Linked DNA regions of Bombyx mori. The protein of the gene in region 2 binds, or shares a complex with, the protein of the main gene of each other region. Links are inferred from orthologs where the notes say so. Each region holds a gene or a part of one and is shown on either strand. Other genes may lie near its edges. The genes, in order: KIF-binding protein and kinesin-like protein KIF18A.

Region 1 (17,421 bases), on a different chromosome or scaffold from region 2:
AGCGTGGTGCACTGGTACAAATGGGTAATAGTCTATACACTACACGGTCAGCTGCTGCGAACTATAGGCGCCACCATATTGGCCTTGGCTGCTCTGACGAGCGCCTTTCACTTTATCCCTACTCCGCGGCCGATCGTCACGCGACATGCAACACACAGACGAAAAACTGAGAGGATGTAATAAAAGTTTCACTTAAAAATCAAAACTAATTATTATACAGAATGCGTTACGTGTATGAAACGAACATCATAGAGAAGCGTGACGTACCGGAAGCAGGGGCCATATTGCCGCGGCCAGATATCCAGATGGCGCCACCATCTCGATTCGTACGAATGCTTTGAACTTCTGGTTACTCCTCACGCGCATCTGTAGCACGTACACACCCTCTTTTTCGACGATCAATAGAGGCGGTAGTTTCTGATAAAATATTAAATGCAGTCAATACCCTTTGCCCAAGGCTTTCAAGTAAAAAAAAACTATAATTATAGCTCTTATTCTAATGCAGTTTAATTCTATGAGAAATACAAAAACGGTTTCTCGGCTAATTGAATAGCTCATTTTGGACCAACGTTAGGACATGGAGCAGCGCGTTGTATTCTATCTATATCTATACGAATATATAAATCTACAGTGGTTTTTACGGGTGTTCCTTTATAACTACTGAACTATGCATCCGATTGACTTGAAACTTGGTATCCATGTACAAAATACATGTAATTAATGGATAGGCTAATATTTATATGAGTGTTGGACTCCCTACACCAGTTGCGGGGGCGTTAATGGTGAGAATCTTTGTGGGGGTGAGAAATAATAATGTTAATTTTAAATGCCCAGCGAAGCGGACGGGTACAGTTAGTCAGTTTATAAAATTAAACGGTCTCTTTTAGTACAAGAAAAGCCGAACGTGCTGTATCCATCTTTTTTAAATCAAGCGCATACCTTTAAAATACTAAAATCGAAAAACTATTTTTCCATTACATTTTAGAAGTTTAAGAGAGAGAGAGAGAGAGAATACACTTTATTGCACAAGTTACATTCAAAAAAACAGTCAAAAAGCACATATGTACAATAGGCGGTCTTATCGCTAAAAGCGATCTCTTCCAGACAACCGGTTAATTTACAGAAATTCTGTAAAATATAAAAATATAGCAGGTATGTTGCATAAAGTTTAGCATAAACTAAGAACTTTGGTTTGAGCCACTTCGATTCTATTAGGTGCGATGTGTAACTCTGGAATCACTCACAGATTGCGATGTTATGGCCGTTTCAATTTTATCAACGGGCTGATCCTTCCCGCCGTCGAACACAAGCGAAGAATTACTGTGACACGTTCTTGTCTCTTGAACGCTCATCGCTTGGTAAGACCTACTGGCGTTGACGTCTCTCGTTGTGCGTTCCAAGCGATCGGTGCACGTAACTATCCTCTGGAATAACAATAACAGGTTTTTTTTATTGCTTAGATGGGTGGACGAACGCACAGCCCACCTGGTGTTAAGTGGTTACTGGAGCCCATAGACATCTGCTACTTAAATGCCGACACCCACCTTGAGTTATGAGTTCTAAGGTATCAGTAGAGTTACAACGGCTGCCGGACCCTTCAAACCCAAAACGTATTACTGGTTTACACGGCAGAAATAAGCAGGGTGATGGTACCTACCCGTGCAGACTCACAAGGATATTCGGATCTCTTTTATAGACCAATGTGTTTGTGTACGGGTAGGATACGCAGGTTTTATTACCTTCGATAAATAGAAATAAAAAAAAACTTAATTGACAGAGAAATCTTTAGTGCCTTTGTTTCCTTAGATACGTTGCTATTGAAAAGTAATAGTACAAAACAAGATGTACCTGTTCAAAATAATGTAAGTATTCCGGAGAACACATTTCAGGTGTCCAATCGTATGTGATGTTCAATGGTACAGCTGCATCACAGTGCACTGAAAATTTTATTAAAGTTTGTAAACTTATTTTCTATCACTATGTCAAATCACTTAGTGAAAAATTCTGTAGAATTAGATGATAATGCATTCCTTGTAATTTTCATTCAATTATAAGAATAATATTGTATATAATAAATAATAATTAATATATATATAATAAATAAAAAAATGTTTTTTGCTTAGTTGGATGGACGAGCCCACAACTCACCTGGTGTTAACTGGTTACTGGAGCCCCTAGACATTTACAACGTAAATGCGCCACCCACCTCGAGATATAAGTTCTAAGGTCTCAGTATAGTTATAACGGCTGCCCCGCCCTTCAAACCGAAACGCATAACTGCTTCACGGCATAAATAGGCAGGGTGGTGGTACCTACCCGCGCGGACTCCCAAGAGGTCCTACCACCAGTGATTACGCAAATTATAATTTTGCGGGTTTGATTTTTATTACATGATGTTATTCCTTCGCCGTGGAAGTCAATCGTGAACATTTGTTAAGTACGTATTTCATTACAAAAATTGGTACCCGCCTGCGGGAATCGAACACCGGTGCATCGCTACATACGAATGGACCGGACGTCTTATCCTTTAGGCCACGACGACTTCAAATAACTGGAAACAAATCATGCACTGTCACCCGGCCTCAATTTAGGTACACCAGAGACTGATATATGTTTAAATATATATGTACCTATGTAGATAATATACACTCAGATAAAGAGCAAAAAACCCATTTATAACACAATTTTTGCCCGATATGGGAATTGAACCCACGACCCACGACCCGCGGCGGAGAAGTCAGCTGCGCCACTGGGTCAGTCTTATTATCTCTAGACGCGGGGAAACCCTAGGCGCGGGGACCTCGTGGGAGAATCGGACCCCGGCTCGAAAAAAAATAATGACTTGTTAATATTAAGTTATCTTCATCTTATTCAAGAGTATGAATAGTTATTGATAGAATTTTTTTTTGAAATTTGCAAAAATGAACTAAGAATTTTTACACTACAACTTAAAACTGTACCCCTCAAATATGGCAGAACTCTTTGTTGATTAGTAGTTAGTGATCTGAACTCAATTACCCTTTATGTCTCATATGTGTATTATTCCAGCTACCTTAATGTAGGCGAAAATCCTAGTTGTTAAACAATAAATACTTAAATATTAAAAATATGAAATATGAAAAAAATATCATGAAACTACAGTTTTAACTTAATATTGATGTTACAAACTCTACATTCCTCAGTCAGAATGCTATGAAACATATTGTGAAGTCACAAGTATTGATCTATGACGCATTTCAAAAGAGGGTCTTTTATATATCTGATATCTGCAAATAGTTATCAGTTAACCAACATAATTGTAACTGCTGAACTATCAGATTGTGTTATCTGAGTTTTTCAACTTATTTTTAACGTAAAAGTACACTTTAAATTGGTTTCACTATACTTTGCAAGTGTGGTTAATTACCTCGTTAGGTATCTAATCAATTAGTGACTAACTATAGTTATTCCAATTCAAAGGTTATTGATAGAGTTTTGCTATTTGTTTTCCCAGTAAAGTAAAATTATGAAATTTGTGTTAAGTAACCAACATTAATTATTAACAATTTCAGTTAATTATTAGTTCAGTTAGTAGAAATTATGAGATAAAGTGATAAATTCAACTGTAAAATAACTATGAGACTGATTATTAGATTGAAATTTCAATAAAATCTTTTTGCTATGTACAGAACATCACACTGTAATAAATAGTTTTAAATAGACAATTTCTATATTAGGAATGAAATAGAATGATAATTAAACTGAGCAGTCAATTTGAATTGACATGCATACAATGTCCAATTTGTCAAAATCGAAAGTAAAAGTAGATTCACAATCGGCTTGATAATTAAATTGACTTAGTCACTTATTTAACTCCTTATATATTTTTTTAGTTGATCTAATTGAAATAAGTAACAGTTATTGCCTGAGGCAGAATCAATTTTAAGTCCATTTTAAAAATATAAAAGATTTTTTTTTGGTATGACTGTTGGGTGACCATACTTTAAACTGCCAAAAAGGAAAGCAATCGTTTTCTTAAGCTGAAGATATATCTCACTATTAATTATCCCGGGAAAAATAAACCCGAAAGTGGAAATCTTGTGGATGTTGAAAGGCCAAATTTCTCCTGTGGACTATCTATAATTTAAAATTAGTTGATACTTTATGAATATCAATTTAAAAACTCCCTTCTACTGACCGAACTCTATAATTTAAGGACATCAAAAAATTAGGCAAAAACTTGGCTGTACAATCACTCACTATCAGGTGGTCCTACAAAGGTAACAAAAAAAGTAATAGTGTTACAATCTGCTTTGGATAATCTTTTTTTTTTAAATAAAACCTCATTCCCGTTTTGCCTCTCCTGTTGTACCTTGCCTTTGTGTGCCAAGATATAGTTGATTCAGTTTATCATCTGATTTAAGAAATTTGTAGTAGTTGATTTATAACAGATTTGTTTGTCACTTATTTTAAGAGCATTAATAAGTAATACTTACTTGCAATTATAAGCTTTGTATTCTTAAATAATGACTTTGCTAATGTGAAATGACAATCATCCTGAAACCAAAAAGTATATTGCATTACTGGGCATATTATGGTTTGATAGGAACTTGGGTGGTTCAGATTTCACAAGTAGAGTAGATCAGATTACATCCCTATGGTGGTGCAACCAAATTGGCAACTTAATGCCTATAAAAGGTAATTTGTCAAACAGCAAGTCTTATCTTGGGCTAGATTTATCCTAACCTAGTCTAATCTTATCTCCTTTCTTTTCTTCTTTTTGCTAACTTCTTTTCTTTCCATATGTCCCATAATAACTGGGTAACTAAAATCTATACTTAGGTATTTAAATTATTGGTATAGACAATAGATCTGTTATGACACAGCTGCTCCCAGTTGAGGATAAGATCAATTGGTTTCTAAAGTTTTGAAGCTATTTAATAATATTTGTTAAGAATATTGTAAGATTACTGCTTGTAGTATGTTTCAAACCCTGGCAGAGTTTCATCCTCAATATAAGTACATGGACCTTGTTCTCATTAAGATATGATTGTTATTTACAGTTATTACAGTTAATTATTAGTTTAGTTTCACAGCTTTTGGCTTGGGCCAAGGCTAAAGGGAGCCAAATCTACAGTTTTAACTGAAAATCATGTTTGATTGGACTATGTTGCAGCTATACCAGGTTATTATTTTCATGAACGTACACTAAGTAAAGATGTGACAATATTATCGTCTCTTTTTTTTTCAATCACTCAATTCTGACGACACGTTCAATACTATTTCTGTATCTATTATTTTTATCTAACTACCGCAGCTACCCAAGATAATTATGAAATTAAACTGAAATTTTATTTAAACTTACGCCACTAAGTTCCAAATCCCACTTTCCGACATCGGAAAAACTGTGCGTACATTTTACAATTACAATAAAAATAAGAAGCTTAAGAAACATTGTAAATTACATAAATGTACTGTAATATTATAAATATTTCATTGCAGTCAATATGTAACCAAGCAACATTTTCCAATAAAAATCTATTTTTTTGCATTAAGCCACAACAACGAATAATATGATCACCGCGCTTAGAATTAACTTTTCTGACATTGATTGATATTTGACAAATGTATGTGTTTTTTTGACAAAATATACATCGCGATAACTTTACAACCTATCTCCTCAAATATTAAGTGCATTATTTAAGATCTATCTGTAGACGTCGTTTGTTTACTTAAGTCAAGAATTATTAAATATTACTTAGATATTCTCTACTATAATACTCCATTTAAAAAAAAACATTGGCTTTACATACCCGTTGAAAATAATGAATTTTGTAATTATTGCAAAGCTTAGCTGTATGGTCAACGTCCTCTTGCCTGATTTTCAAGAAAAACAAAACGACCCACAAAAAGTAATTTGACATTGTGGTTGTCGTGTCAAAATATTTTTGTTTTGTTCTTGGAATATTTAATAAAATAATCGGTTATTGTGTTATTATTCTAATGTTTTATGTTTACTTTTATTACAAACCGTACATTTTGTTACACCTAAAGACTATTTATCATAATTAATGAAGTTAAAATTTCATCCAACTTGTTACTGTATTAGTCATGTCAGATTGCGCGCTGGTTACCAATGTAAGCGAACACGATGCGAGCATGGATGTGGGGAGCGACAAGTCTCTATTCGAGCCTACTGTTGATATGATGGTCAATGATTTCGATGACGAGAGAACTTTAGACGAAGAAGAAGCTTTAGCTGCAGGCGAGCAACAGGACCCTAAGGCCGAGCTCAATAGCCTTCAGAAGGAGGGAGATATGCCTTTAGAGGAACTCCTGGCTCTGTACGGTTACGACAGAAACATGGAAAAGCCAATTCCTGACCAAGTTCCAGAAGTAGTTCCTGAGGAAACTGAGAGAACGGAGAGGGCTGAGAGGACTGAGAGAAATGAATCTGCCCTTTCCCAATTATACAATGAGAATGCAAACCCTGAAGCTACTAGATGCCTTCGGTCTGGCTCAAGGCCTCCCTCTGAGGAGGAAGATGATTATGATTACAGTCCAGATGAGGAAGACTGGAAAAAAACTATAATGGTTGGTAGTGACTATCAAGCTGCTATACCTGAGGGTCTATGCAGCTATGATGATGCATTACCTTATGAAAATGAAGATAAATTACTATGGAATCCTTCTATTCTTGATGAAAGAATCACTGAAGAGTACATGCGAAAAGTGTGTGCTCTGAATTTAGGCACCGGGATTGAATTAATTCCAAAAGGAAAACAGCTTCGTGATGATGAAGAGGCCCTGTACTTATTGCAACAATGTGGCCACAATGCAGAGGAAGCCTTGAGACGGAAACGCATTTCTGCACAAACTCCACCTCACGCAAGTCTTTGGTCAGAAGAAGAATGCCGAAATTTTGAAAATGGCCTAAAAGCACACGGAAAAGACTTTCACTTGATAAGGCAGAACAAAGTACGAACTCGGTCTGTCGGAGAACTCGTCCAATTCTACTATATTTGGAAAAAAACTGAAAGGCATGATATATTTGCAAATAAGGCTAGATTGGAGAAGAAAAAGTATACTTTGCATCCTGGTCACACTGATTACATGGATAGGTTCTTAGAGGAGCAAGAGGCAAGTGGAGGAAGTGTGGTGCGACCTGCATCTCCATCGCCCATGATGGACTATGCAACCTCTCCTGTCACTCAACCCGACCCTCTTGCTCTTGGTGAGAAAGAAGTATTTTCACAGTTAAATACACATAACACACCCCCGAGGGCCATGTCGACAGAAGAACCAGAAGCAGACACTGGACCGTAATTTTAATTTCTCACTTTGTAGAATGCACTGTTTGTAATATACTTAAGTAAATTTTAAATTAGAAAGATAAAAAAATGCTGTAATATGTGTTTAATTCTGTGTTGATTTTATTTGAAATAGCTTTTGCTAAATTGTATATTTCAACCTAAATAATGAATATAGTTTATAGTTTATATGTCAATATTCTTACTGTAGACTTAAACTATAAGCAGTGGTTGTTTATGTACGTTAGTATAATAATGTTCATTGAAAAAAATGTAGAATGAAGAATGTCTCACTATAATCGTTGATTCAGGTGTATTGTTCAGTAACCGTGAAGCATGGAGCAAGAGCTTGTTTTTAAGTCACAAAAATAAAGTAATTTTTAAAAGTTTAAAATTCTTTAGGAATATTATCCATTAATACCTAATGTAGGTTAGTATATAAATATATCAATCTTAATGTTAAAAAAATATAGGTATAGAATTCTATCATTTTCTGTAGATGTGTATTAAGCTCTTGTGACATAGCTTTCAAGAAATCAATTTTAATGATTTTACATATTTAATTTTGGATTATCCAATTTGTAATTTAAATTAGTAATTTTCTAAAATCTGTATACTCTTTATAGACACAGCTATTGTGTTCATTAATTTTCTTAACAATGCAAACTATAAAAGTGAGTAAATGCTTGTGAGATTGTACACAGCGAAGGCTGCTTAGTCAGGGATGACTATAGATTGTTTCGAACAACTACTAACATAGATAAGACATTTAGAAACTTATTTTTTTTAACACCTATATGATACACAGACCTGTTTTTGTTCATTTTTTTTTAACACCTATATGATACACAGACCTGTTTTTGTTCATTCCTCATCTGCATGGATGCATAAATTAAAAATCGCCTATCTTTTGTTTGTTATTGTACACATAATTATTATTGTATCCATAAATAGTACCTAATTTTCTAATTTCATATATTAAATACCAATCTCAGATTTAATTCACTGTTTCATACATACAGATAGATAGGCTGCTGAAATTATCAGGGTTTATTTTATTGCCATTTTGCTATGGGATTTTAAAACGTAATAGACCTAAAATAAGATAAATTCCCTTATTCATAAATCATATTGACATTAATTATTTCTACAGTATTTTTATATTTCTGACTGGATTTTATTTAAATGAATGAGTATGGTGGTTTATTAGCATTTGATTTGTACAATGTACAAAATAATATTAATTTGTTAATAATATTTGTGAATAAGGGAGTAAAATAATTAAATTATGAATTTATGAATGTACCTGTCTATATCTAGATGGGTGTCGTATAAAATTGTGGATTATTTCATGAAAATAAACAGTGCAAAATGTTTTTGTTTATTTCACACTAGCTTTTGCTCGCGACTTCGTCTGCGTGGAATAGTTACTTTGGCATAACGCTAAATTTTACCCGCCTCTTCATTTACGTAGAAAGTGAAAATATTTTTGAATAATAGAATGTTGAGGAGTTATTTAAGGTACCAAAATCCCGTTTTTTATCCGACTTCAAAAGAGAAAGTTATCAATTCGACCGTAATTTTTTATTTAGATATGTTCATGGATTCCTCGAGAATGCTTGAACCGATTCTGATAATTCTTTTTTTTTTTTCTTCCAAAAGGTAGACTTCTCGAATGGTCCTGTTTACAACAGATTGATGATCGGATCTTGGAGAAATCCAGAAAAATCTTTAATTGTCAAAGCCTATCTTGAAGTGGTTTGGGTGTTTCAATGTTGTAATGAATAACGTATTTATTTATCATCTTCTTTATCAATATCATCTTTGTAAAAACACCTTCAGAAATAATGCTTTATTTTAGAACAAATTTGTATACCATAAAAACGTTATAGTGAGCCAACCTATATAGACATCGAGATTATATTAAATACGTACGTATAATGTACGTAGTACATAATATCTCGATGTATATAGACCTAATTATGCTGTCGCGGACTTTTTTTTAGATCTTTTAAAGGGGAACAATTCTCTCATACATTACTTTAGCGAAACTTAAACCGCAGCGCACGCAGTGGAAGCTCTCAAAAGGAACTAAAACCCCGATTTTGAAATATTCCTCATTGGTGCTCCGCTTGCATTGGTCTTAGCGTAATGTTATATAGCCTATAGCCTTCCTCGATAAATGGGTTATCTATCACTGAAAGAGTTTTTCAAATCGGACCAGTAGTTCCTGAGATTAGCGCGTTCAAACAAACAAACTCTTCAGCTTTATAATATTTAAAAAAAAAGTATAGATAATAATATCTAAGTTTGGAGCCATTAAAATTTTTAGTTACACTTCAGAATCGCTGTAGACAGTGACTACGGTCCTCCCTCTTTCTCTGAAGGAGTCAGTGTCAAGACAATTTTCTCTGAGTCTGAACAAATATGCATAACGCAGTTTGCGTCACTATGTCACGCATGAGAGTGAATTCCTTACTTTGTTTACTCAACTAGGATTTTGTGATGTGTAGGCTACGTTACCCCATTATAATGCTTCGGTAACAATTCTATTTTTTTTTTTTAGGATAGCTGTTGGCCCGAAAGCCTTTCCAGTTTCACCAGGATATGTGGGCGAGCAAAGGCTCAGCCAAGAGGGATGGGATTTGCTAACAGCTGAACAAAGGAGACCTAACAACTCCAGAACAGCTGCTTCGCGGATGAATGTACTATCGGATCGGAATCGCGATCCACTAAGAAACAGCGGGCTGATGGATGGGTTAGGTTACACGTCTAACTCTTTGCCGAGTACGATAAACAGGTTCCTTAAGCCAGTTCCTAGTGTTAGAAACAGTTCAACATGCGTGGGTTGGTTTACCTACTTATACTAATAAATACAAACGATGACATCTTAGATCGAATGCAAAAGGTAATGAGCGGAGGGGCTGTCGTAAAAAGACTGATGGACTGTGTGAAATAGGATATACGAGAGAAGTGTGTAATTGCAGAGATAAAGTATGATAGATCTGAGAGGAAAAAGAAGGCATTTTGCACCGATTCCAGATGTGTAGTAAGCATGTGACTCCGATAGTGAGTTATGGGCAAGAAGAAGAGTAGAATCGAGTAAAAATCAATAGTGTTGAATATCGATATAAAAATAAATTCCTAGAAACTACATTGTAACTTCACTAGTGTCAGTTGTTTAATTGTTCAGTTGTCAAAATGATTTTTAAACCTTGAATTTCATGAAATTTTCTCCACTCGATATGCACGTAGATACTATCAGTATGATTTTCACATAGGATTTTTTCTAAAACATTTTGTACGAAAGGTGTGTGAAATTTGAACGATATTTACTGTTAAACAATATCTGTTAAAATAGTTGTTGAATTTGATCTTGCAATTCATTTCACAACATCATACAACCTATGTTGTAACGCCGCATACAAATATTGATTGAAATTTCATTGAAAGTTCGAAACCATGACTAGAGAAATGAGTGCTAAAGAGATACTTAATGATTTTAAAGAGAATTATATTAAATTCCGGAAGCTACTTGACGAAGACAGCAAGAATGATCCTGAAAATGCACCATATTTTTCTAAGTACAAAGCTAAAGAAATATTGAATAATATGTATGTTTTTTTAAAGACCTTAAAGACTGAAGGTTCCCCTGTCGATGATACCAAACTCGATGCTATGATCGGATATGTTTTGTTGAACATTGGTATAGTAGAAATGGATACAGAGGAACCTACTGCTAGTGAAAAGAGTCTCAATGAAGCTGTTGATCTCCTTCTGGAAAATGCTCTAAAACCCGAAATAGTTGTGACACTTATTAATGTCTACAACAATATTGGAATCTTATGGTCCAACAGAGATGACCCTGAAAAAGCAAAAGCTTCATTGGTTAAGGCAAAAACTTTGTATGAGGACTTTAAGTGCACTCTACAGATGCCATTACCTATAGAAGTCATTATAAATTATGTTGGGGAAACTTTAATAGATGATTTTATGTATTTGGAAAAATCTTATACTTTGACCTTGTATTATTTAGCTCAGGTGTTTGGTGTGTTAAAGGAGAACTTGAAATCAGCAATATATTGTCATGTAACATTAAGGAGACAGCTGGAATATAATGATTATGAACCTATAGACTGGGCATTGAATTCAGCTACATTGTCACAGTTCTTTGCTGAGCAAAATGGGTTTTACCAGTCAAGGAATCATTTAGCAGCTGCATCAACAATCCTTGATCAATATAAGCAACTGTTGGAGGCTGCAGTTGATCAAGATGAGGAATACTTAGCAAAACTAGAGACTTTTAAACATAGGTCTGCAGATGTTGCTAGGTGCTGGGCCAAATACTGTCTTTTATTGATGATAGCTTCAAAAACTAGGCTACTGGATGATGATGAAAAACTATCAGAGTCTATTACAGGTCAGTTATGCATCTAATATTTCTGTATTTATCCCCTTGTCTTAATTTTCTTAAATCTATGTTTTATCTTTGAAATTTTAAAATAGCTTTAATATAAAACTCTTCATTTCAGATATGTCAAACCTCAGCTTAGAAGACACTGAAAACATTTGTGAAGGTAATCTTAAGAAACTGACTTTTCCGAATCTCGATGTTACAAAATATGAAAGCAAAATAGGAGATAAGTACCTCCTGACTTATGAAGATGCTAGAGCAATTTTTTTAAGTTGCCAAAACTGGTTGAACCAAGCCAAGGAATATTATAAACTAGAAACGTTGGCTTCAGATTATATAGAACTTATTTTAGATAGCTCTCAGGCATACAATAATCTAGCATTTTTTGAGGATAATGATGATCGTAGGGCTAAAATGTTGAAGAGGCGAATTGATATGCTTGAAAACTTATTGAATGAAATAAATCCTACATATTATTTACAATACTGTAGACAGATTTGGTACGAACTCGGTGTTGTTTACACAGACATTTTGAACATAAAAATAGATAAATGGCCCAAGAGCGAAGCGACAGTTCAAGCAAGAAAAAAAATTGATTTGCTATGCAATAAAAGTATTGAAAGTTACACCAACTTTATTAATTCGATAAACGATAAAAATGGAAAAGTACCTGCAAAAATTGACCAGGAATTAATAAGACCTCTGATAAATGCTCTTGTTGCAGTCGGTAGGAACAGTATGAAACGCATGGCTGTAAATAAAATAAACCAATTGTGCCATGTTCAGAAAAGCCTTGATTCATACCAAACTGTTGTGGACATCTGTGATACACACGAAGAAGTTGCAGTGATGTTCACTGAAGAGTATAAGTTATGCCAAGAAATGTGTCAGATTTTACCTTTAAAAATCAAGAAGTTGCAAACCGAAATTGCTGGATAGAAGAAATAGTTGAAACTAAAGAGTTTTATGAATTATTGTATGGTTATTAATAAGACTTGGTTTGCTTCATATTTAAAATATAAAAGTAAAAATCAATTTATATTCGCAAAAGTAAACATTCATTATTTTATTAAGTAAATGTTTTATGATCTCGATTACATTACATATTATTAACTATGTAATCATACCTGGCCAGGCTTTTGTTTGGCTTTGTTTGAAATTAATAACTTCCAAATTAAATAGATTTTGTCACAATTAAATGGGTTTTTAGTATAATCATGCTCGAAAAACGAGCTCTTTCTGAAATTAAAAATGCCTATGTTACTCCTTGAAACGTCGGCTATGTCCGTTAGTTAAAGCTCGTTCTGTGTGTTAAGTGCGAGATTTTTAACGTTTTTGATAGGTAACGTAAAAGCTAACTTTAATTTGTATGGCGTTTGAACATTTGCCTACGTTTGCCGCTAGGGGCGCTGTTTCAACTGCATACAAATGTAAGTGAATTTTTACACGATTGAGACCGTTAAAAAACTCGCACTAAGCGTACAGATCGGTACTAGCGTTACAGAGATTAGCCAAAAACAGACTGACTTTTTTTTTTTCTCTACCTATGCTGATTGCCTTGAGAGGCTATTTCAGCTTACCCTAGCGTGTTTAGGTGAGCTCACGGGGCTCAAACCGGAGAGTTGCTAACACTGACTCTAACAAGAGCAGTGCTTCGTAGAATCTACCACCGGATCGGAAACGCGACCCACTGAGAAGATCCGGCGAGAAACTCAGTGGGCTGTGTCTGTGGGTTAATTCGCTCGTCGAGCCCTTCGTCGCAAGCGACGGGTTCGACGAGGACGGTGACCGGTGCTTGTGGCGCCTAAAAGCACCGTTAATGGATCAGGAGGATCCGTAATGACGTGCTTTGGGCGACGTCGACGGTTTACCATTCGGTCTACTGGGTCGGGTATGTAGTTTCCAGCGGCCACGATGAGAGGGTTCTCATGTCGTGCCGTCTTCTCAAAATGGCGCAGCGATGCCGACTGTAGGTACTTACTAACTGAATCGAGCTCCAGGTCATCGTGGAGATCCACGTTCCTCAGGAACCATGGTGCTCCGACGGCTATCCTGCAGAATCGGGATTGAATAACCTGAAGGGATTTCAAGTTGGTGCGGGCTACGTGAGCGAACACTACGCCTGCTTACGTCATGACGGAGCGTATGCAAGTTTTGTAGAGAGTTACCTTATTACGGAAGGACAGTTTGCTTCGACTACAAAGCATTGGGTAGAGTCGTCCTAGTATAAACGCGGCACGGTCGCGTAACGTTTTAATATGGGGACGGAATGTCATCCCTCTGTCGAGGGTGACGCCTAGGTATTTGACCTTCGAGACCCACGGTATGGGCTGGCCAAAGAGAGTGATGGGGCTAACGGCGGAGGTGTTTGCGCGCCTATTAAGGAGTGGGATGCTCGAAGTGGTACAGCCTGACAAACACGATTTTTTTCGTATTCTAGTGATGTGATGTCGATGAGCGACGTCGACCACTCAGCATCAGGCGGGCCATAAATATTTTCATACGAATTTAGATGCTATTATGAAATTTAAATTTAATAAAAAAAAAATCTTGAGTTATGTGTACCATGACATGGGGTAAATTGGGATCCTGGGGTAAATTGGGACAAACCTGCGGAAGATTCTCAAAGTACCTGTAGCACGGAATCTACCTAATTTTGTTTATGTTAATATTTATCAATGTATAGAAGAAAAACCAAGTTAACTATGGAAGTACTAAATATGAGTTAAGTAGGTCCCAAAAATTCGTCAAATTAAATTGAAAATAGTGGTTGAAAAGTGCGTTTTAAAACAGCTTACAGAACTTTTAAAAAAAGTAATATTATCGTTGTTTTTTCAATAAGATCACAGTTTATATAAGTTTTTAATACACCTGGAAATACCACAACAAACGGTAAGTTGCAATATTCTTATTTTAAATACAATATTTCGACAAAATAAAAAATGTATAATTTTTCCTTTCTTTTTGGGGAAAATTGGGACGTATGTAGGGTAATTTGGAACGAGACTGGAAAAACTAGGGACGAGAAAACACAAAATTGGAACGCCAAAAGACAAAATAGGGATGGATTGTTAGGGTTGTCACTGATATCTTATAATAGATTTTTTAGCCTATACTATCACTCGATTGCGTGATGTAAAGAAGGTTAATGTGTTTATCAGTTAGTTTATGTAAGTACTATAGGTAAAAGAAAAGTATATATATAATTACATTTTTTCGCGACATTTACCTTATAATATCTGCCTGGTCGTATGTCCTTTATAGCAATAAAATAAAATTAAAAATTAAAAAGAACTCAAACGAATCAAAACTTTTGTTATTTCAGAATGATTTTTTTAACATTCACAACGCACATACAAATAAAAACAGGCCTCAGATTTTAAATGTAACATTAATTAAAAATCCGAGATATCTAGGTTCCAATTATGAATGAGTGAATTAATTGAGTTTAGTTATTTAGCTTAGAAAGAATTTCTTTTATTTTTGTTATTATAGGCAGTAATCAGATAAATCTGCTTTTTTATCTTATTCACCTGATATCTTACTCTTGCTCAAAGATTATTTTGAAAATGTTGATTAAATAAAATTGTATTATTGCATTTCCAGTCCTTTTGTTTTCTATTTTTTATTCTATTTTATCATTTGGTTTCAGAGTTGTGATTTTTAAGGAAATTAAATAATAATTTTCTAAAATATAACATGCACATACTTTTTTTGATCATTGTATTGTTGATTATCATTCACGTCACATCGCTTCGGAATAGAAACCAGCTTAATTTACACTATGTTGTGTATTGTGCTTAAATTATGGATTGTATTCATCATTTCGGTCCATATAAATAATTGTATGGCACCTACCTACCTACCTATATATCGCAGTACCGCGAACTGACAACCCTTACAAATATCCCAATTTAACCCTTACCCGTGTCAATTTACCCCAAATGCGGGGTAAATTGGGATGGCCATTATTTTTCCGATTATTTCTTTAAATTGAATAATTAAAATAATGTAACGGTTTTTATCACCTAGGTACGTTCAAGACTCAACTTATTTCTTTGGTTGAGCAGTGACTATTTAATTGGAACTATGTTAAAATTCAATCTGAAGTTCGATTTTGTCCCTATTTACCCCATTTTACGGTATCTACCTAATAAATATGACTACATTTAAGAGGTGAATGAAGTTAGCCCCTCAAAAAAATTTTTTTTTCCTGTTTTCTACTTATTTTCTATTAATTCGTTTGTTCATCATTTGTTCTTGATTGTTCACTGTTAATAATTGTTTGTTCCCCATTTATTTATTTTAAAAAAAATATTAAAAATATATCTAAAAGTTAGCCCCTCGATTGCAATTTTTAATATTTTTTCGTCCTTAATTACTCGTAAATATTCATTTTCGATTGTTCTTATATAAAATACGTTTGTTCTCTTTCGAAATTACTCATTTTTTGTTTAATTAATTGTATTAGTTGAATAAATGTATACAAAATATGTGTACTGCGCATGCCATAAGTGTATAATCTATGGCGCATGCGTCAACTATAATCTCAAATATAATAAGTGTATAATCTATGACTATAATGCCTAAACTTTCTACGCGGTTTTAATCGTGAAAAAAAAAACAATTATAAATCCTGAAGGATCAATTAATTGGTATACAGTTTAATTAAAAAAATAAAGAAATAAAATAATGTGCATTCGCGTAAAGTTAGACCAAATACATTTTTTCCATCCTCCTATATACCTATCGCTATGAAGGTATAAAAAAGATAGGTTAAGAGTTCACATAGGTAATATAAACAAATAAGTAAATATGTTCATTATTTATCTTTCAAGAGATAATGTAGGTATACATTATAATAACATTTTGACACAGTCGAAATTATATTCCTAACATTAGTAAAATAACATTTTAATATTTTTTTTATAGGTTATGTATTGAAATTGTTGGAAAATTATTTCATGTTTTAGCTGGAAAACGACATGGAGAATTATATGCAATACAAGATAATGAGCTCCATCAAATGAATTCGAATGAAACCAAACTGTTTACCATCCAAATTCGATTGTCGGGCAGATAGAAAACGAAAATTCACTCATAGTGAACCTCGGCCTGCATTTGTGAAACGGCAAAGACTCACTATTATCGAGGAAATTGAAGAGACGACTAAAAATGAGATGTGTCGTATTATTTATACCTTTGCCATCTTGTAGTCAAGGTAGGTGTAACTGTCAATAATTAGTTACACTCACAGATCTCCTAATCAAATAACAATATCAGAAAAAATGAGAATAGTTAGTTAGTTAGTGGAAGTAGCCAAAATGGGCAAGTGGATCTCAGTTCCTATTACATAAGGTACTAGGAAGTTTGTAAAAATGAAAATTTATCACAGTGTAATATCACTTACTTACTTTAACAGTGAAGGAAAACATTGTGATGAAACCTGCACACCTAAATGTTCTTAGGATTTTCTTAGGTGTGTAATCCACCAACCAGCACTAGGCCAGCGTGGTGGACTAAGGCCTAAAAACCCTCTCAATGGTAGTGAAGGCCAGTGTCCAGCAAGGGGATATATTATATGGGCTGATGATGATGACTAGGAAGTTAAATACTACTACTACTACTACGACAGTACACATATAATCCTATATATTTACAAACTATATGTTTGTTGGAAATTGCTAACATTATTTCATATTTCCAGATGTCCAGCCA
Region 2 (16,903 bases):
AAAATAGAATCTTAATAGTTTACAAACTTATAATTTCGATTAATTATAGTCGAATTTCGACTACCGGGCCACCACTAGTACATATAATTCATCCAACCAATAGTGTCTATGAAACCAGTATAAGCGACGTAAATAAAACTAGGGTATTCCGTAAACACTCAGAATACATTCCTCCCTGCACTACGAGAGCACAAGTGCATGAGGGGTGCATTTCAAAGCCTTCAATTTGTCCTGGCCGTAATTAGATACGACACTCTCACAGCGCCGTACCCGGAGATGAATTAAGTAAATTTAATTAAAACGTATGCACGTCGTATGTGACCTGCTTCAAGCGGCAAATATAGAAAATGAAAAATCTTAAATTGAATATTTCGCTTTAAAAGGCACCGATACATATTGATTTTATTTTCACAAACCTTTCGGGGTCGAAAAGTTTGATCGGGTTAAAATTTTACCACCGGTTTGACGTCTAACTCTCTTTAGCTATGATAGAACTTGCATTGGAAAATCTAGACAAAAATTTATAGGACGATTAAACTTGTTTAAGAATTCTATCATCAAGCACGGAAGGTACTAAGGGTAATTTATCCTTTGCTTTTCTCAACAAAAGTAGGGCAGTTAGAGAGTTCACAGTCCACCGGAGATGCCGAGTTTGGGGGCTCAGCGATAACAAGTACTTTTCTAGTCTAAGAGCTAATTATTATTATCATCATATAATCTACGTTAATGTAACACAATAAAGCTTCCCACTATCTAATCATTACATTATTCCCTTGATTTTTTACTAATCCCAGGCTTGCCGAGGAGAATTTATCTCAAAGCATTATCCAATTCAGTATGAGATTTTGCTTTCGTGTCCTATTGCTCAAGATGCTTTGCGTACGATAACACCGGTATACATATATGTGGTGCAGTATTTTTGCAAAATAGATTAACATGCTTTCTCGCGAGACTAAACCAGACATCGCAGAATTAATTAATTTGTGTTTCGTTTTGAACAATAGTGTCAATGTCATTTAAAGCCAGGGCCTAAAGGACAGAGTTTTTGCTGGGCCTTTCTTAGGATTTTCAAAAATTAAATTGCACTTGCAAAGGATGCTCGCGAACTTCGAGTCTCATACGTAGCCTCGGGTAAGTAACAAGGCTCTTCAAAAAGTTTTAAATGTAAAAAAAACAATCGTTCTTATCACGGAATAGATTTATCAATAGATTTATCTATTCCGTAGTTGTAGTCGATGCTTTCACACGTGGTGTATCCGATTGACTGGCAATAATTGTTGGCACCTCAGAAAAGTTTTTTTTTTTATTACGGTATGTACTATTTCATTCAAAACGTGAATGACTAGTTTCAACAAATAATAAACTATTTCATGACAGAACTTGGATTTTTTTCCCTACCTATGCCTTGAGCCTTGAGAGGATATTTCACCTTCGCCCTAACGTGTGCAGGTGAGCTCACGGGGCTCAAACCGTAGTGTTGCTAACACTGGCCCTAGCAAGAGCAGTGCTTCGCAGAATCTACCACCGGATCGGAAACGCGACCCACTGAGAAGATCCGGCGAGAAACTCAGTGGGCTGTGTCTGTGGGTTAATTCGCTCGTCGAACCCTTCGTCGCAAGCGACGGGTTCGACGAGGACGGTGACCGGTGCTTATGGTTCCTAAAAGCACCGTTAATGGATCGCAACTTGGATGACTTTTACTAATAAAGCAAAATACCAAAACAAATATTTACAAAATTTAATACTTTCACACGAATTACATACACAATCTCATATCAAAAACTTGCATAAATTATATTCTTATTATAAAACATACTTAATACACTTCAGTCATTTTATTCAATATAGTTAATAAACACACACAAAACTGTCAAAACTGGCACTTTAGTGCACAACTATACTAACATAGAAAAATATATCTACTTCGTTCCTTAGTGCAAGTTATTGTTAATCAATTCATATTAGTGGCGCGTTACACTAGACTTTTCTAGAATATAAGTAAGGTACATACAAATATTGAATAAAAATACATTGAAATTATAAAGAAAGTATTCAATAACACAGAAGTTTGCTTGTATACAAGATAAAAGATATCAAATAACGCTAGTAAACGCTACAAACTGAGTATGATATATGTATGTATTAAGATGCTTGCAGTTCAACTAGTAAGAATATTATAGGCCACGTAGATTAGCTTTCCAGTGAATGTTGGAAATCTTAGTGTCAAATTGCTATTTTTGACAAACTAGAGACCAATATTGCTGACAAGCTGTCAATATATATTGCTGACAAACTAGAGACTGGTATTGCTGACAAGCTGTCAACAGATATTACTGACAAAATATGACTCGTGAACACTGATAAATAAAGGTTACGTTGCATTAATGAGCAACTGCAATAAAATGCTTTATTTATTTATTTCTGTGTATTTCGCATCTCTATAATAGGAAAAACGTTTGAGTATTAAATTCATTCCACGGTCATAAATATACTCTTCATACTTTTCTGAATGGTTTGACAGTTAGATGTAAGAAAGTGATTCTTTTATCTTGCAACACACTTACACAATCGTATTTTTTTTATCAAAAAATAACTCTACGAAACACGTTGTTGCCGCGTTAAAAAAACAAGTTTACAAATTATTGAAACTCTGAATTATAAAGTTTAAAGCCATCATAAAAATTACAATATAATATTTAAAAAAAAAAGTTTTATTTTATAACTAACAATAATGGATAATTAAGTATGTTGTATTATTTTCAGTGACATACAAAAACAGTTTTATTTTTAGTTCTCGGTCTTCGATTCTTTGAGACAAACTTGACACAAAGTGGATGTCCAATTTTGCATTTTTTTTTTATTTGCTTATATGGGTGAACGAGCTCACAGCCCACCTGGTGTTAAGTGGTTACTGGAGCCCATAGACATCCCACCTTGAGATATTCTTGAGAAATAAGTTCTAAGGTCTCAAGTATAGTTACAAGATACGACATGGGCGTCAAGTAACGACAAAATCAGACATCGCGTAAATTAAACTGGGGTACACGTCCAAACGTGTTTACGGGGCGCAAGGAAACCGCTCACAAGAACGAGAATGCTATGACAGTACTGATAATCCTGAGACGGTAATATAATATTCCTGCGATCAGCTGACGCTCGAGGTCAACGACCGTGCGTTAACCTAGCGGGAAGCGTCACACGAGCGGTCGGCACTTCAATTTAACGGTCTTATTCATTATTAGATATCCGAGCTTTGTAAACTCGTTCTATGAGTATTGACCGGGTCGAATTATCCGTATGATTTTATACATTTAAATGAAAAACTACCGAATCTCGGTCACGCCTACCGCTGATTTCTATAAAAAACTGATTTCTTGAAAGTATTCCCAGGTCACCACCTGTTATCAGTTGATGGTACTGTGAAGGAAACACAACAGTAATTTTCCAAGTTTCGTTGCAATCACATGAATATTTTTGCAACACATAGAGGACAAACCAATATACAAATAATTATTAAGTTTTATTTATAGTACTAGAAGATTATTAGCCTATTAGAAGACAGATAACGCTTTTTGTCATGATTATTACAACGGGTTTATAAAGCTCTTAAACACATTATGAGTAAGAGTTTATAGACCTCAAAGTTTTGTTCGATTGTATATTATTCAAAATTACTCAAAATGATAAGTTTTGCTTTGGAATAACAAATGAAATTTCGGTTTTCTTATCGTCTCAAAACACGACCTTGATAAAACTAAGTATCGAAGCGTATTTTGAGTACAACAAACTTTCTCCATTAAATTAATATTTAGTGTGAAAATGAATAACGTTGTTTTAAGTCACTTTTTCATAAAAAAAAAGCGTTAAAGTATACAAGATTTAATATTTGTTGATCAAAATGATTGGTGTTCAGAGCTGAAACGAAGGGAGCTTCTCAATTTACTGGAGATAGGATGTGCCACGGAGACTACCCGAGAATGTACCGCTGCCCTCGTCGCGAGGCAGTGGGAGGGTCCAGTCGCGAGGGCAGGGCAGGCGCCTACTTCGACAAAGCGGCGCGACGTGATAATCCTCTTATTACGTATATACGTTTTTTTTTATTGCTCGTGTAGGCAGACGAGCATACGGCCCACCTGAAGGTGAGTGGTTGGTGCGAGCTGGTTGATCCGGTAACAAAATTGTTTTTATCACTTCCGTAACAAAATTAATATTACAAATCGAATAGTTATCGTCGAATACAAATCGAATATCGAATATAAATAATAATTAATGTATGTTTGTCCGAATCCACTGGATTGCATTGTAAAAGTTTCAGCATCAACATTCGGGATAGGTCACCGTCTCAGTACCATCAACGAATTCGTTTACAATCGTTTACTACTAACTCACCTTTTAAGAGTCATCGCTTTGTTTTCGAGTAATTCCCTTGCAAAATGTTTTGAGGTAAGTTCTTGAGAAATAAATAATAGTTTAAAAAAACTAACAAAATACGCCTTTATAGAAAATTCAACTAAAAAATAGAAAAAAATCTTTTTCATTTTTTAGTTGAATTTTAATTTTTTTAATTTTTTTTCAATTTTATTTTTAAATATTGAATTGTCATCGGTCCTTAATAAGTATACCAAATTTCGAGTTAATCCGACGTTTTGAAGGGGGTCAAAATCATGTTCAAAGATTCCGTTACAAACATACATACATACGTCTGAAGCTAATAAAAGCGTATTATAAGAACTGCCCATATATGGTTATCTATATGATTCGACTCAAAAACTCAACGTGTGAAGGCAGTTTAGTAATTACACAATTAACATACAACACATACACAGTACAACGTCTTCATTATACCGTGGTGCTCCGTTCACTTCCTGGCGGCGAGGGCGGGCGGCCTGGAGTAGGGGTGGTTCTGCACGCGCTCCCTCGCGCGGACGGCTTTGAAACCAACTGACTTTTGAGTGACATTCGTCTTTGTACGAGACGCGTCTGTTAGTTTGTTAGTCGACGGCACACGACGGCACAGGACACACGACGGCACAGGACACACGACGGCACAGGGCACACGACGGCACAGGGCACGGGAGGACACAAGACGGCACAGGACACAGGACGGCACAGAACAACACAAACATGAAAAACAAATGGTTAGTTGTCGTTAGATTTTACGTTCAGTCGCGTCAAACAGTTTCGTAAGCTTTCAAACGAGCATTAGAATTCAAAAGAGTATCTTAATTCATTAATAGTATTTTAAGGGTGTGTTCATTATGTGAGAGACGGTCATGTAAAACATTTTACTACTCCTATAGTGAGTTGATTTGCTTGTATTTTTATTAGGTCTATCCACAAAGTATATAAAAAAAAAATTAATAAAATGTTTAAATAAAAATTAAAATTTAACTAATGAAATGTTCCTGATATTAACATATAATTTTATTTTTTTTATTGCTTAGATGGTTGGACGAGCTCACAGCCCATCTGGTGTTAAGTGGTTACTGGAGCCCATAGACATCTACAGCGTAAATGCGCCACCCACCTTGAGATAAGTTCTAAGGTCTCAGTATAGTTACAACGGCTGCCCCACCCTTCAAACCGAAACGCATTACAGTTTCACGGCAGAAATAGGTAGGGTGGTGGTACCTACACACGCGGACTCACAAGAGGTCTTACCACCAACAAAAACTATACTATCATTTTATAGAAATTAACCTAGCCGTACTAGCCAGGTTAAACACAATGACCGAAATCTTCGTCATTTATTTTAACATTTACCTTGCACGTTCCTCTGCAGCGGAGTTCCGTCGCGGGACAGGCTGGACCCGAAGCCGGGCCCCCGCGGCGCGCCGGGCTGCGGGCCGGGCCGCCGGAACGGTATCGCTTTACCCACTACGGGTTTCACTAGCTTAGCTGCTGACAGACATTACCATTTTACTCTGTTTTTACTAGTCCACGTTTTAAAATAGAATTCATAATAACTTTGTAACTCGTAAAAATATTAGATTCATTAAATATACATAATTCAAAAACAATGCTAAAATAAATATCAAGAAAAAGTCTTATAGTACTGTTACGTCGGTAAGAGTAACGCCATCTATCGCCGAATAGCCGAAACGAATATCAAAGGATCTAGTAACAACTAGAACGCTCGAGATGTACAACGCCATCTCTTGTCAGATAGCGGAAACGCACATCGAAAATACTCGACTTGTGAGGAATGTTTTCAATAAATCTAGGGATGTCGTATCGACTATAAAAGCGTTGCAGAGATGGCACGAGTGATTTAGTAATCGGAACTACTCGGAGCGAAACAGTGAACGGATCACCCGAAGCGAAGCGGAAGAAGTGAATTAAGAATTTTAAAGTGTTCTGTGAGTGTTCTAAGTGATAAATATAGTTTTAAGTTGTACTCTGGTGGAACATTTATTTATCTCGAAACGCAGCGTGCAACAGTTCTTGCGGATACTTGCGAACAACAGATGTTCGCAGAGTCGTAACTCATAAAAAAACTTGTCATCTCACCCTTATCACCGAAGTTAATTGTCCTTTGTATAGTATTAGTCCTATCCACGAGTCCTCTCTTGACTGGTTGTACTTCCACTTTTGATTCGGTCTTGATTGGTTTCCTCAATGCGTCCATTTTACCCGCCAACACAAAGGTAGAATTCAAATCGTTAGGATCTACTACGTTGTAGTTTTCAATATCAGGAGCAATGTCAAATTCTTTCTCCCTTTTGATTTTCTTGGCTGAGTTAAGATTTCTGGTCGCATCCAAACTTTCAAAGGAGTCATTAATTAATATGGTTTCATTATTTGGCAGTTTAATTGGCGTCCCTTTACGTTTAAGAACTTTAATCGGCTCTCTGTTTTCAATGTCGGTCAAATCATCACTGTCTGTCATTATGTCTATGGTCATGTTGCCTTCATCCTTCTTGTCGTAGTCTATGGCGGTTGTTGGCTTCTGTATATCTAGGCTCGATATGAATTTGAAATTAGAATCGATTTCACTGTCTTTGTCAGACCATGTGATGGCCTTAGCTAATTTCGCTTTTTTCATTATTTCTATATATTCAGCAGTCAAAGCTGGGGGTGCTTTGTCATAGCCTTTTAATGTTAGATATAATTTCTTAAGCATGCTTGGCATTTCGCTCATATATTCAGTGAAGGCATTGATTTCTTCATTTTCAATGGACAATAATTTGTATCTGAGGTTATCTCTAGCCTTTATATGTCTAAGTTCACTCTTTAAATGTATGTTTTCCACAAAATCAGCTAATTCAGTGAAGTCAGATACAGCTTGATTGCATACTACATGTAGTCTCTTGCGACTGTCATCCCATTTAGTCCAAGTCGACATTATCTGAGAATCTAAGTGCACCGTTTGTTTTATGTAGCTTTCAGCTGCTCTTTCTTGCCTCGGTATATCTTCATTGCAAACCTGAATTAATAAATTTGTATTCAAGCTGAATCAAAACGGTAATACCTTAGGAATACCAGCATAAGTCTAGTTAAGTGCTTACAATATAACTATAATTGAAAATTTTAACAAATTTTTAAAAAGAACATTATTACTTTGGGCTTCTTTTTCAAAATGTCATTTAGGTTTAGGATTTGAGAAATTCTATGGCCCATTCCAGTTTCCCAAATTATATGATGTTAATGATATTGTATCCAACTCAGATTTCAAATCCAAAATTAATATAATTTGTTTTTACCTGTTCCATTGCCTCGTAGGAGGATCGATGCGCTAGATCGGCGACATGCGAGAATGCTCTGGTCCGTAAACGCTGTCGCAAGGCCAGCACCCGTTGTCTCGACATCAAGTTCAATAATTCGGTCTCCAATGAAGCATGAACAGAATCGCAGTCAATGATGCGACGCCGCCATTCCTTTATCGCTATATTTTTAATATAAACAAATTAAATTATAAAAATAAACATGCCACAATCTGTTATTTTTTATTAATTTAGCTTATATGAAGAGCTTGAAGCCTATCTGGTGTTAGGTGATTACTTACGCTCACATTCAACAGAATGTGAATGCAACTATTTGGTCTGATATTTGATAAAATCTTAGTTGCCTGAGCCCAAAATATTACATAGCCTGAACCGTGTCACATACCATAAATTGCACAACATACTACTACCACTTTACATAGTGTTGTCAAAACACTAGAATCGATTATTGGTAAATAAAAACGAATTAACGAAAGTTAACAAGTAATGACAAATGTAATGTAAATGAATTAACGAAAGTTAACAAGTAATGACAAATCAAATAAAATATTTCTCATTTTTACCTTTCTCCTTCACCATGTCAGGTTCTTTTGACACATTTTTAACGCTAGACAAAGACAGCTTGGCTTCCAACTCTTTTACTTTCTTTTTCAATTCTTCATTAATCTTCACATATTGTGACAAGCGCATGTCACCGTCAACAATGTTCTGGTTAAAAAAGAAAAATACTTTTTAAAACACTTGTGAATTATGGCTACGGCTATACAAGACGCTGTAGGATAGCTAGGAGAATAACGGACGTTAGAATTTCTAAAAGATATGGATAACATATCAAAAGTAATGAACAATAACACATTATTATTTTAAAGTTTGATCAAAGATATATTCTAGATAAGAATAAATTTAGGATCTGAAACGGTCCAAGAACGTTAGGTGGAATCAATAGATGTGTGGACGAGCTCACTGCCCACCTGGTGTTAAATGGTTAGCAGAGCCCATTGAATTCAACAATCTAAATACCAACATCTACATAGTTATATAGTACAATACGTGAAGCAGCAGTAGCCTTTAAGCCGAAACGCATAACTGCTTCACGGCAGAAATAGGCAGGGTAGTGGTACCTACTTGTGTAGACTAATAAGACGTCCTACCACCAGTTATTATGCAAATTATAATTTTGTGGGTTTGATTTTTATTACACTATGTTATTCCTCAATTGTGGCAATCAGTCATGAACATTTGTTAAGTACATATTTCATTAGAAAAGTTGGTACATGCCTGCAGATTCGAACATTGGTACAGTCACATCGCTTCATACAAATGCACTGAGAGTCTTATCCTTTAGGCTACGACGACTTCAATTCTTCTTATAAAACATAATATGGACTTCATCAAATATGAAGTGAATCCTGATATAGGGTAATCAATATTTACCTTCTTAATACTGAGCTGAATCTTATTAGCTCTAGCTGCATACTTGAGAGTATTGTATGTATCTTCGTAACTGACACTTGACGGAGATACATTTGCTATCATCACCGTTTTACAGTTACCACCTAGGCTGTCCTTTAGCAACCGAGTTAATTTTGAGTCTCTAAAAAAATTATTATTTAAACTTAACTATGTTGAACAAAAATAGGGGATTCAGTGCATTACAGTGTATTTTGGGCTTCTTTTATTATTGTAAGTTTTTGGCCTAATTTTGGCCAACTGACTCTAATGACATGAGTAATAATAAGAGTACAATTTTGAGTTTAAACAATTAATTATAATCTACCTGTACGGAATGTAGTTGCTTCCATCAGCTAGTTTATTAATACAATTGCCTAACGATAGCAAACTCTTGTTGATATTGGCACCTTCTTTAAACCTCTCTCCCACGCAACCTGTAGCAGAAGCTCGCTCACTTCCAGCCAAATCAATCATTGATAGCTTAACAAGACGTAGTTGACTGCTAGTTTTGTATCTCATTTTTACATATACCTAGTAATAAAATGAGAAATATTAAAAATACAAATTTACATTCACACTGTGAAATTGAAAAAAATTATATATAATTGAGTTATACACAAATTTACCAGCCCACATTTTCTAACATGTTACTAATGCTCACCTGAAAAACAGCATGACTTCTTGAACTCTCAGCATTTGCATCTGTAGGATGCTGGGTCCTGTTCTTGTTTCCATTTTCAAGCATGTTAAGGAGTTCCCTAGCTGTTTTAATATTGTTCAGTGTCAGACCGGCAACCATAACACCATACTTTGAGTCCTCTCGAAGTTGCAAGGGAGTTTTTGAAGGTTTAAGGAGATCATATACATTTTCATTGTATACCTAAAATCCAAGTAATTATGCTTCAAACTTAATTAAAAATCAGTTATAATACAATATTTAAGAAGTTAACATTTTAACTAGACAATTTAGTGATTATTCATTTTAATTTATATTTAAATTGTGCCTTTACAACAAAAGAGCACAATTTCCATTTTGATAAATAAAAAGTAAAGGAAGAAAACATAAAGTAAATAAAAAGACTTTTAAAAAAAAAATGGGGCTCACTAACATTCCAAAGAACAACCAACAGTTGGTATATAGCCAAGACAAGATAATACTGATAACTTTGTAAGTGGTATTTTAAAAACTTACTTCAATATAAGAGACTCCTATATCAAATTCCCTCTCCTTTTCAAACTGATTAATAGTATAGAACAGATGTTCCATGGTCAGGTAAGTTATGCCAGGGTGCTCATTACTGCCGATCATAGTGAATGTCTTCCCTGCACCAGTAGCGCCATACACAAATACTGAACAATTGTAGCCTTCCATCAGAGCCGCAAGCATATCTTTCGTTGTAGTTTCAAAAACGTCCTTATTCGATGCTTCTTGACCACAAACATTATCAAAAACAAACTTCAACTCTTTATTAGCACGTTTTAAAAAGTTTTTGTTCGGTTGCTGTACACCCTGGTAGAAGAATGGCCTGATCTCTTCCTTAGGGTCAAACACTAACATTTTGTCATCTACGACGTCTACAACAACGCGACTGTTGAGATCCAACTCTTTTTCGTTCAAAGGACGTACTCTCACTACAACTTTGATGTTCGCAGCCATGTTTTGTGTAGAACCGCATTTAGACGGCACTATTCCACCACCAGAGCCTTTAAAACCCGTAGCGACGGGCCGCTTCTCTATTTTCACCATAATTCCAACGCACTTTATAACTTTATCATGAAATGAGATTACACTTCTAGCAATCCACACGAGTACAATCAACCGCCACTCAAACAATAACGCCTTTTCTGCATCACATTCGCTCAATTGGACGAGTTATTTAATTAATTTTTGACTATTTCTTCACAAACAGAAACGAAGTTTTATTAAAATTCAAAATTCTAACCGTCAAAATTTTGAATTGACATATCTGTTCTACACATTACACTAGCGCATTTTTTATTTGATATTTCTGCCTGAGCAAGCAAACGGAACTAAGTTCATACAGTCTTGTCATTTAAATCTGAAATGAAGTTTTAAAAAAAAGTAAAATTAAACTAAAATAAATTATAGTCAAATATAACTAATAGTGATAAGACAAAATAAAGTAATAGTCTAATGTAGTATTAATAAAATTTGCATTTGCTTGTTTTTACATTGTCTATCTCTTCGGCTTGGGAATAAAAATCTGTAGGAAACTCAATGAATTTAATTATATTCTAGACCTTCTCTCAAATCACATAATTCCATGTCTTTTTTACAATTTAATTTTATTATTATATTAATATTAATAAATTTGATTTCATTCCGGTTCTAAGTACTCTGAAAAAGTATACGGTGCAAAATCAAAGAATGATTGGTTCCTATTTAAGTAGCTCTTTTTAACCGATTTCAAATAAAGGAGGAGGTTCTCAATTCGACTGTATTTTTTTTTAGGTTTGTTACCTCATAACTTTTGAGTGGTTGAATCGATTTTGATGATTCTTTTTTTATTAGAAAGCTGACGCTTCCCGTGTCGTCCCATTTCAGTCCAGTCCTGATAATGATATCCATAAGAAAACCATATAAGTCTTAAATTTGTATTAAGTACGTGCGCGACGTATAGATGAATAACTCAATAACTCAATATCACGCCAACCGATTTCGATGATTATTGTTTTTAGTGTAGGTATATTAATTTGTTTCGGAATATCTTTTTTTTTCTATTTGAAGTCGGTTTTTGTTAAAGCATGTCTATTTACAATTATATTAATATAAAAAATAAACAATGTGACAAATTCACTGCCTGGAATTTTTAGTCCTGACACTTATCTTAGTTACATATGTTTGATGCTGTACAATATACAAAACTTTATCGTGATCACGTTGCTTTATTGCATACACCAAATTCTTAACCATAAATAAAAAAGGCTTTCCGCCTACGTGTGAGAGGCAGTAAGCAGTGTATTAACGTTTACCTACGTTTGCCGCCAGGGGCGCTGTTCCAACTGCATACCAATTTGAGTTAACTTTTACGCTATCGAGAACGTTAAAAAACTCACACTAAGCACACAGACCATGTTAGAATGAAGTGAACCTCCCTCCGCCAAAGAATACTGAGCCTATGCCACCGAGGTATTAAACTACAGAAGTTTGAACTACCTACTCTACCACTTCATCATTTATCGACATAAACCTAAAAAAGAGACAAAATCGAAAGAACAACACTGAAGTTAATAGAATTTTATATAGATTCATATATACATCGCCCTCGGCTAGATAGGCACGATGTAGTCTTTATTACGACGCCATCCCTGTATAAGAAACAAATACAATTTCCTCTTAATTTCCGCTCTCGATCTTATCTGGACATAACGACAGGCTTAGCATTCAGCCGACACTCTTACTAAAACTTCGGAAATAGGAACAATTCCATTATGATTATTTGTCAGTATTCACTTTTATGTTTATTTTAAGTATTCATAAACGATGAAAGTGTAAAGATTACTATCTTATTTTGAGGTTAATCTGTTATTACAGTTAGTCATCTTATTTCTATACCTTTAGGTATTATATTTTATGTGCACGTGACACACAGATAAATATAATTAATTAATGTTAGAATGACTTATGAACGAGGCACACGGAAGTTTAAAACTAAATAGCGTGATAACACAATTGGGTATTTGAAAATTATTTTTTTTTGTGATAAATGGAAAGGTCATATATTAGTTTTATAACAAAACAATTTTTTTTTATTTTTTTTTCGCAATAATTCAAAAGTTATTTCAAAATAAAAATTAATTTTTGAATCCAGTACCGAAGACACGCCGACAGCTCCCGATCAAACCCGAGCGCGTGTGACGTCATAATGTTAGTTTTCCCTCATTGCAGTTCATATTATAGAAATACTCGTAATCATAGATTATACACTTAATATATGTAATAAGTACAGTGTTTTGATCTATTTAATTTTGTTATCATCGTTAAATATTCAAATATTTATATAGAAAATGTCGAACCTCAAAAGTTATCGTTCTTCTTTTGTACCATTATGCATGAAAACTACATAGACAACTCCTGAAAAAATGTTTTTAAATGTTTCCCAAGATGACAAATATCGAAATAAATGGTTTCAAGCAGTGCACCGTGATAATCCCAAAACAAAATCGATTTTTTTTTTTCATTGTGAAGATCATTTCGACGTAAGTATTTCTTATCACAACCAAAATATGGAAATTTATAATCCTCAAGAACTAAACATTGATGCCGTATCAGCCAATACTGTTGAAAATATTGGTGTTGATTTTGATTAATATTATCAGATTTATTTATTTTATTTATTGGGTACCAACATGTTATACATCAGCACAGAACATTACAGGTAGGTATCATATACATTGATTTCACACTAAATGCTAACACAATTACAGGTACCGACTGCATGCATAAAAAAAAAGCGGTTCATTATATAAAAAACAAAGAAAAACTATATATAACATTACATGAAGACCTTATATTATTACACATTTACTACCAAATACGCTATTACTTAATTTAAAAAACTCATTGAGTAAGGCTGTAGACTTCTCGTCTAAAACTGTCAACAGTGCCAGCAAAAACGTCCAGAGAATACTTGTTATGCAAATTATTTAATTCCCCAACTAGTCTGCTGAGAGGCGCGTTCTTACCAAGGTTGGTGTAGAATCTGGGAACCCTGAACACCATCAACTTAGAAGCCCTTGTCGACGTCAGCGGCACGTTAAAGTTCAGAAGAGATAAGAGATCAGGGGCATCGTATTCATCGTATTCAGATTTTGCCTTAATAAATCCTTTATCACACATAGAATCGTAACCAACTAACAACTTGTTTTTTAGCAATAAATTTTCAATATTATTGTCTAGTCACGTGTATTAGCCGTAAACGCTGTACTGTTAATAAATAGCTATAACATTATGACGTCACAACTATGGTAACCAATCATGGCGCGTTTATAAGTCACGTGATTTTTCTTAAATTCTATCAATTTTTAATTCTTTATAAATAATTGAAGAAAAAACATTTTTAAGTTTTTTGCATTAAATATCCCTATTATTACTAATAAAGTTTTAAAATACAATAAAAAAATCTTTTTTTTTTTTTTTTCAAATTCCCAATTAACTGATGTCATACACTATTTTTGGGTAGGTACTTCTATCTAGGATGTTTCTGTCAGATGTTAGAAAAAAAACTTAATCTTTTTCTTTTTCAAAATGCCTAAAAACAAAATACAATTTCATGACATCAATATTAATTTGTATTGGGTATTTAATTTTCGCAACATGCATACGTAATAAATCCCTTTCCAATTATTAGTTCGAATTTTAAATCACCACGCTATTCCGATCATATAATTACAGGTGGAATATTGCAATCACCTTCATAATTAATTCCCGTAGCTCGTTGATTTTTACCTTATATTTCATAACGAATTGTCAAAGGAAACGCTCGCTGTAGGTACAATGGTGTTCAATTCAAAGAAAAATATAATTTCACTTTTCTCACTTCTAGAAGATTCTAGACACCCTTCAGTCGGTCCGCATCTACGACTGCTCAGTTTAACTGGAATTTGGTACCCGAATTCAAAGACTAATATAACGCTTTTGAAACGCGCTTGTTTCTACGTCATCGTGTTATTTTTCGTCAGCCAGTACCTAAAATGTATTATCAAATTTAAAATCGACTCGTTGCAGCTAATTTTAGAGTACGCGCCATTTCACATGGGCATCGTGAAGACATGCTTCTTCCAAAAAGACTACAACGTCTGGCAGGATCTCGTTAGTTTTATTTCGAAAACCGAACGGGATCAAATAGCAAAGAAAGATCCAAAAAGTATTAAAACAATACAGAGCTACATCTCTCGTAATCGTAAAATTACATATTCGTTCTGGGCCCTAGCATTCATCGCAAACATTGGTGTTTTTAGTAAGCCATATCAAAATAATCAGAGCGACGTTAACGGCACTGTTACCTACAATCACCTTTTCGATGGCTATACACCATTCTCAGAAGAACCACCGGGGTATTATTTTTCCATGGGAATCGAAACTATACTGGGTCATGTCGTAAGCTTCTATGTCTTGGGCTGGGACACTCTGGTTGTGTCCATAATGATATTCTTCGCCGGTCAGATGCAAATGTCTCGACTGCAATGCTCGAGGATGATAAATGGAAGCCCGGAGCGGACTCATAAAAATATAATTAAATGTCATAAATTTCACACGGATTTGATCAAGCAAGTATAATATCAAGATATACGCGTTCTTGTGTGATCACTTCAAAAACATATTAACCTTGCTAAAGTCTAGTATTTTTTTTTCAGGTACCAAAAACAATTTAATTCGCTTATATCCCCGGTGATGTTTGTTTATTTATTCGTAAGCTCCATCAATCTTAGCGTTTGCATCGTTCAGATTGCAGAGGTATCCAACATTTCAGTCTCTTGACTTAAAAAAATTTAATGTCCAAATTCCTGGCAAATGATTATGTTATTAAAATGTATCTTATACAACCATCATCACTATCACATCTCCCGCCACCGGAACAGATTTCATCGATACTATCTGAAACCGCAGCCTCCATCAACAGTGCTCGTCCAGAGATATTTTTTTCCCTGTACCATTTGGCTCTGAATCCCCTCCACAATATTTCCAGAGGGCTAGACAGACTATGTAGGTTCGTCTGCCTACAAAGGCAAGCAAAAAAATGCATGAAAGTGCTTTCGTTTCGTCTCACTCAACTATAGACTACAGAAATTATATTTCGTGTGTGTTTAGATAGAAGACGATTTCGCTACAGTATTATCAAGCTTCATCTTCTTGCTGGCGTGTCTAATACAGCTGCTACTATTCTATTGGCATAGCAATGAAGTTACGGTTCAAGTAAGTAAAAAAAAAACTGAATGTTCTTAAATTTGAATTGATGAATAGCGATGTTCATCCATCCAGCCGTCGTAATTAGTGTAGATAACAACACAAAATAGCACATTTCGAATGAACTCTTCTGATTCAATAACATCGTTACCGGGATAAGGTAAATATTTATAAACGTCAATATTAAGTAATTATAATACTTCAATGTTTACTTTGCGAAAATTTAATATGATATTAAAGCATGGTTATTGATCTACAGTGCTGCCGACATCCTTGAACGACAGGTTTTCTCGTCGGTCGTCACAGATTCTGATCAAACACGTTTTAGACAATTTATAATGTTACGCGATGGGGTTCGGGATACATAAAATTCCACCAAAGTACTGTATTCAAATAGTACTGTAAAACTGTATTCAAAACTTAGAACACTTAAAACACTCAATTCGCTTCTTCCGCTTCGCTTCAGGTGAACCGTTCGTTGTTTCGCTTCAAGTAGTTCCGATTACAAACTAACTGCATACCATCTCTGCAACGCTTTTATAGCCGATACCACATCCTTAGAATTATCGAGAATATTCCACACATTTCTAGTATTGTGTTTCCGCTATCTGACAATAGATGGCGTTGTACTTCTCGAGCGTTCTAGGTGCTACGAGATCCTTCAATATTCGTTCGACTATTCGGCGATAGATGGCGTTACTCTTACCGGCGTAACAATAACAACAACTTTTATAGGTTTAAATAAAATTTTAATTAACTTTTTCGAAAACCTTTTTTTTTCTACTTCACACAGAGCGAA

The links.
Region 1: the proteins of kinesin-like protein KIF18A (region 2) and KIF-binding protein are in contact, whole or in part, in a cryo-EM structure (PDB 7RSI), measured with the Homo sapiens proteins. The link is inferred for Bombyx mori from reciprocal best matches to the Homo sapiens genes KIF18A and KIFBP. Residues at the interface, in NP_112494.3 of Homo sapiens: Glu181, Thr183, Gln184, Lys185, Gly186, Arg274, Phe275, Val276, Glu277, Gly278, Thr279, Asn280, Ile281, Arg283, Ser284, Leu285, Leu288, Gly289, Val291, Ile292, Arg314, Lys317, Asp318, Gly322, Asn323; in NP_056449.1 of Homo sapiens: Ser150, Glu151, Tyr212, Tyr213, Gln216, His220, Gln238, Ile251, Asn252, Thr255, Gln258, Asn262, Gly414, Tyr415, Val459, Asp460, Leu461, Asn462, Pro463, Gln464, Leu467.

What each region holds. Positions count from the first base shown.
Region 1 is NC_085118.1:3,178,654-3,196,074, forward strand, and holds KIF-binding protein, read left to right. Parts: upstream 1-9,855; 5' UTR 9,856-10,751; coding exon 10,752-11,709; intron 11,710-11,821; coding exon 11,822-12,642; 3' UTR 12,643-12,902; downstream 12,903-17,421. Other genes in the region: transmembrane protein 87A, read right to left, coding at 268-417, 1,245-1,424, 1,849-1,937, 4,476-4,536, 5,345-5,434; mesoderm induction early response protein 1, read left to right, coding at 6,091-7,305. UniProt on the Homo sapiens protein: Activator of KIF1B plus-end-directed microtubule motor activity. Required for organization of axonal microtubules, and axonal outgrowth and maintenance during peripheral and central nervous system development.
Region 2 is NC_085128.1:15,383,323-15,400,225, reverse strand, and holds the end of kinesin-like protein KIF18A, read right to left. Parts: coding exon of another isoform or gene 16,898-16,903; intron 16,114-16,897; coding exon of another isoform or gene 16,009-16,113; intron 15,655-16,008; coding exon of another isoform or gene 15,555-15,654; intron 15,468-15,554; coding exon of another isoform or gene 14,695-15,467; intron 14,321-14,694; exon of another isoform or gene 13,861-14,320; intron 13,398-13,860; exon of another isoform or gene 11,300-13,397; intron 11,237-11,299; 5' UTR 10,924-11,236; coding exon 10,369-10,923; intron 10,057-10,368; coding exon 9,838-10,056; intron 9,708-9,837; coding exon 9,502-9,707; intron 9,319-9,501; coding exon 9,159-9,318; intron 8,433-9,158; coding exon 8,288-8,432; intron 7,886-8,287; coding exon 7,704-7,885; intron 7,427-7,703; coding exon 6,511-7,426; intron 5,899-6,510; coding exon 5,764-5,898; intron 4,981-5,763; coding exon 4,859-4,980; 3' UTR 1,724-4,858; downstream 1-1,723. Other genes in the region: Or-36 (olfactory receptor 36), read left to right, coding at 14,695-15,467, 15,555-15,654, 16,009-16,113, 16,898-16,903.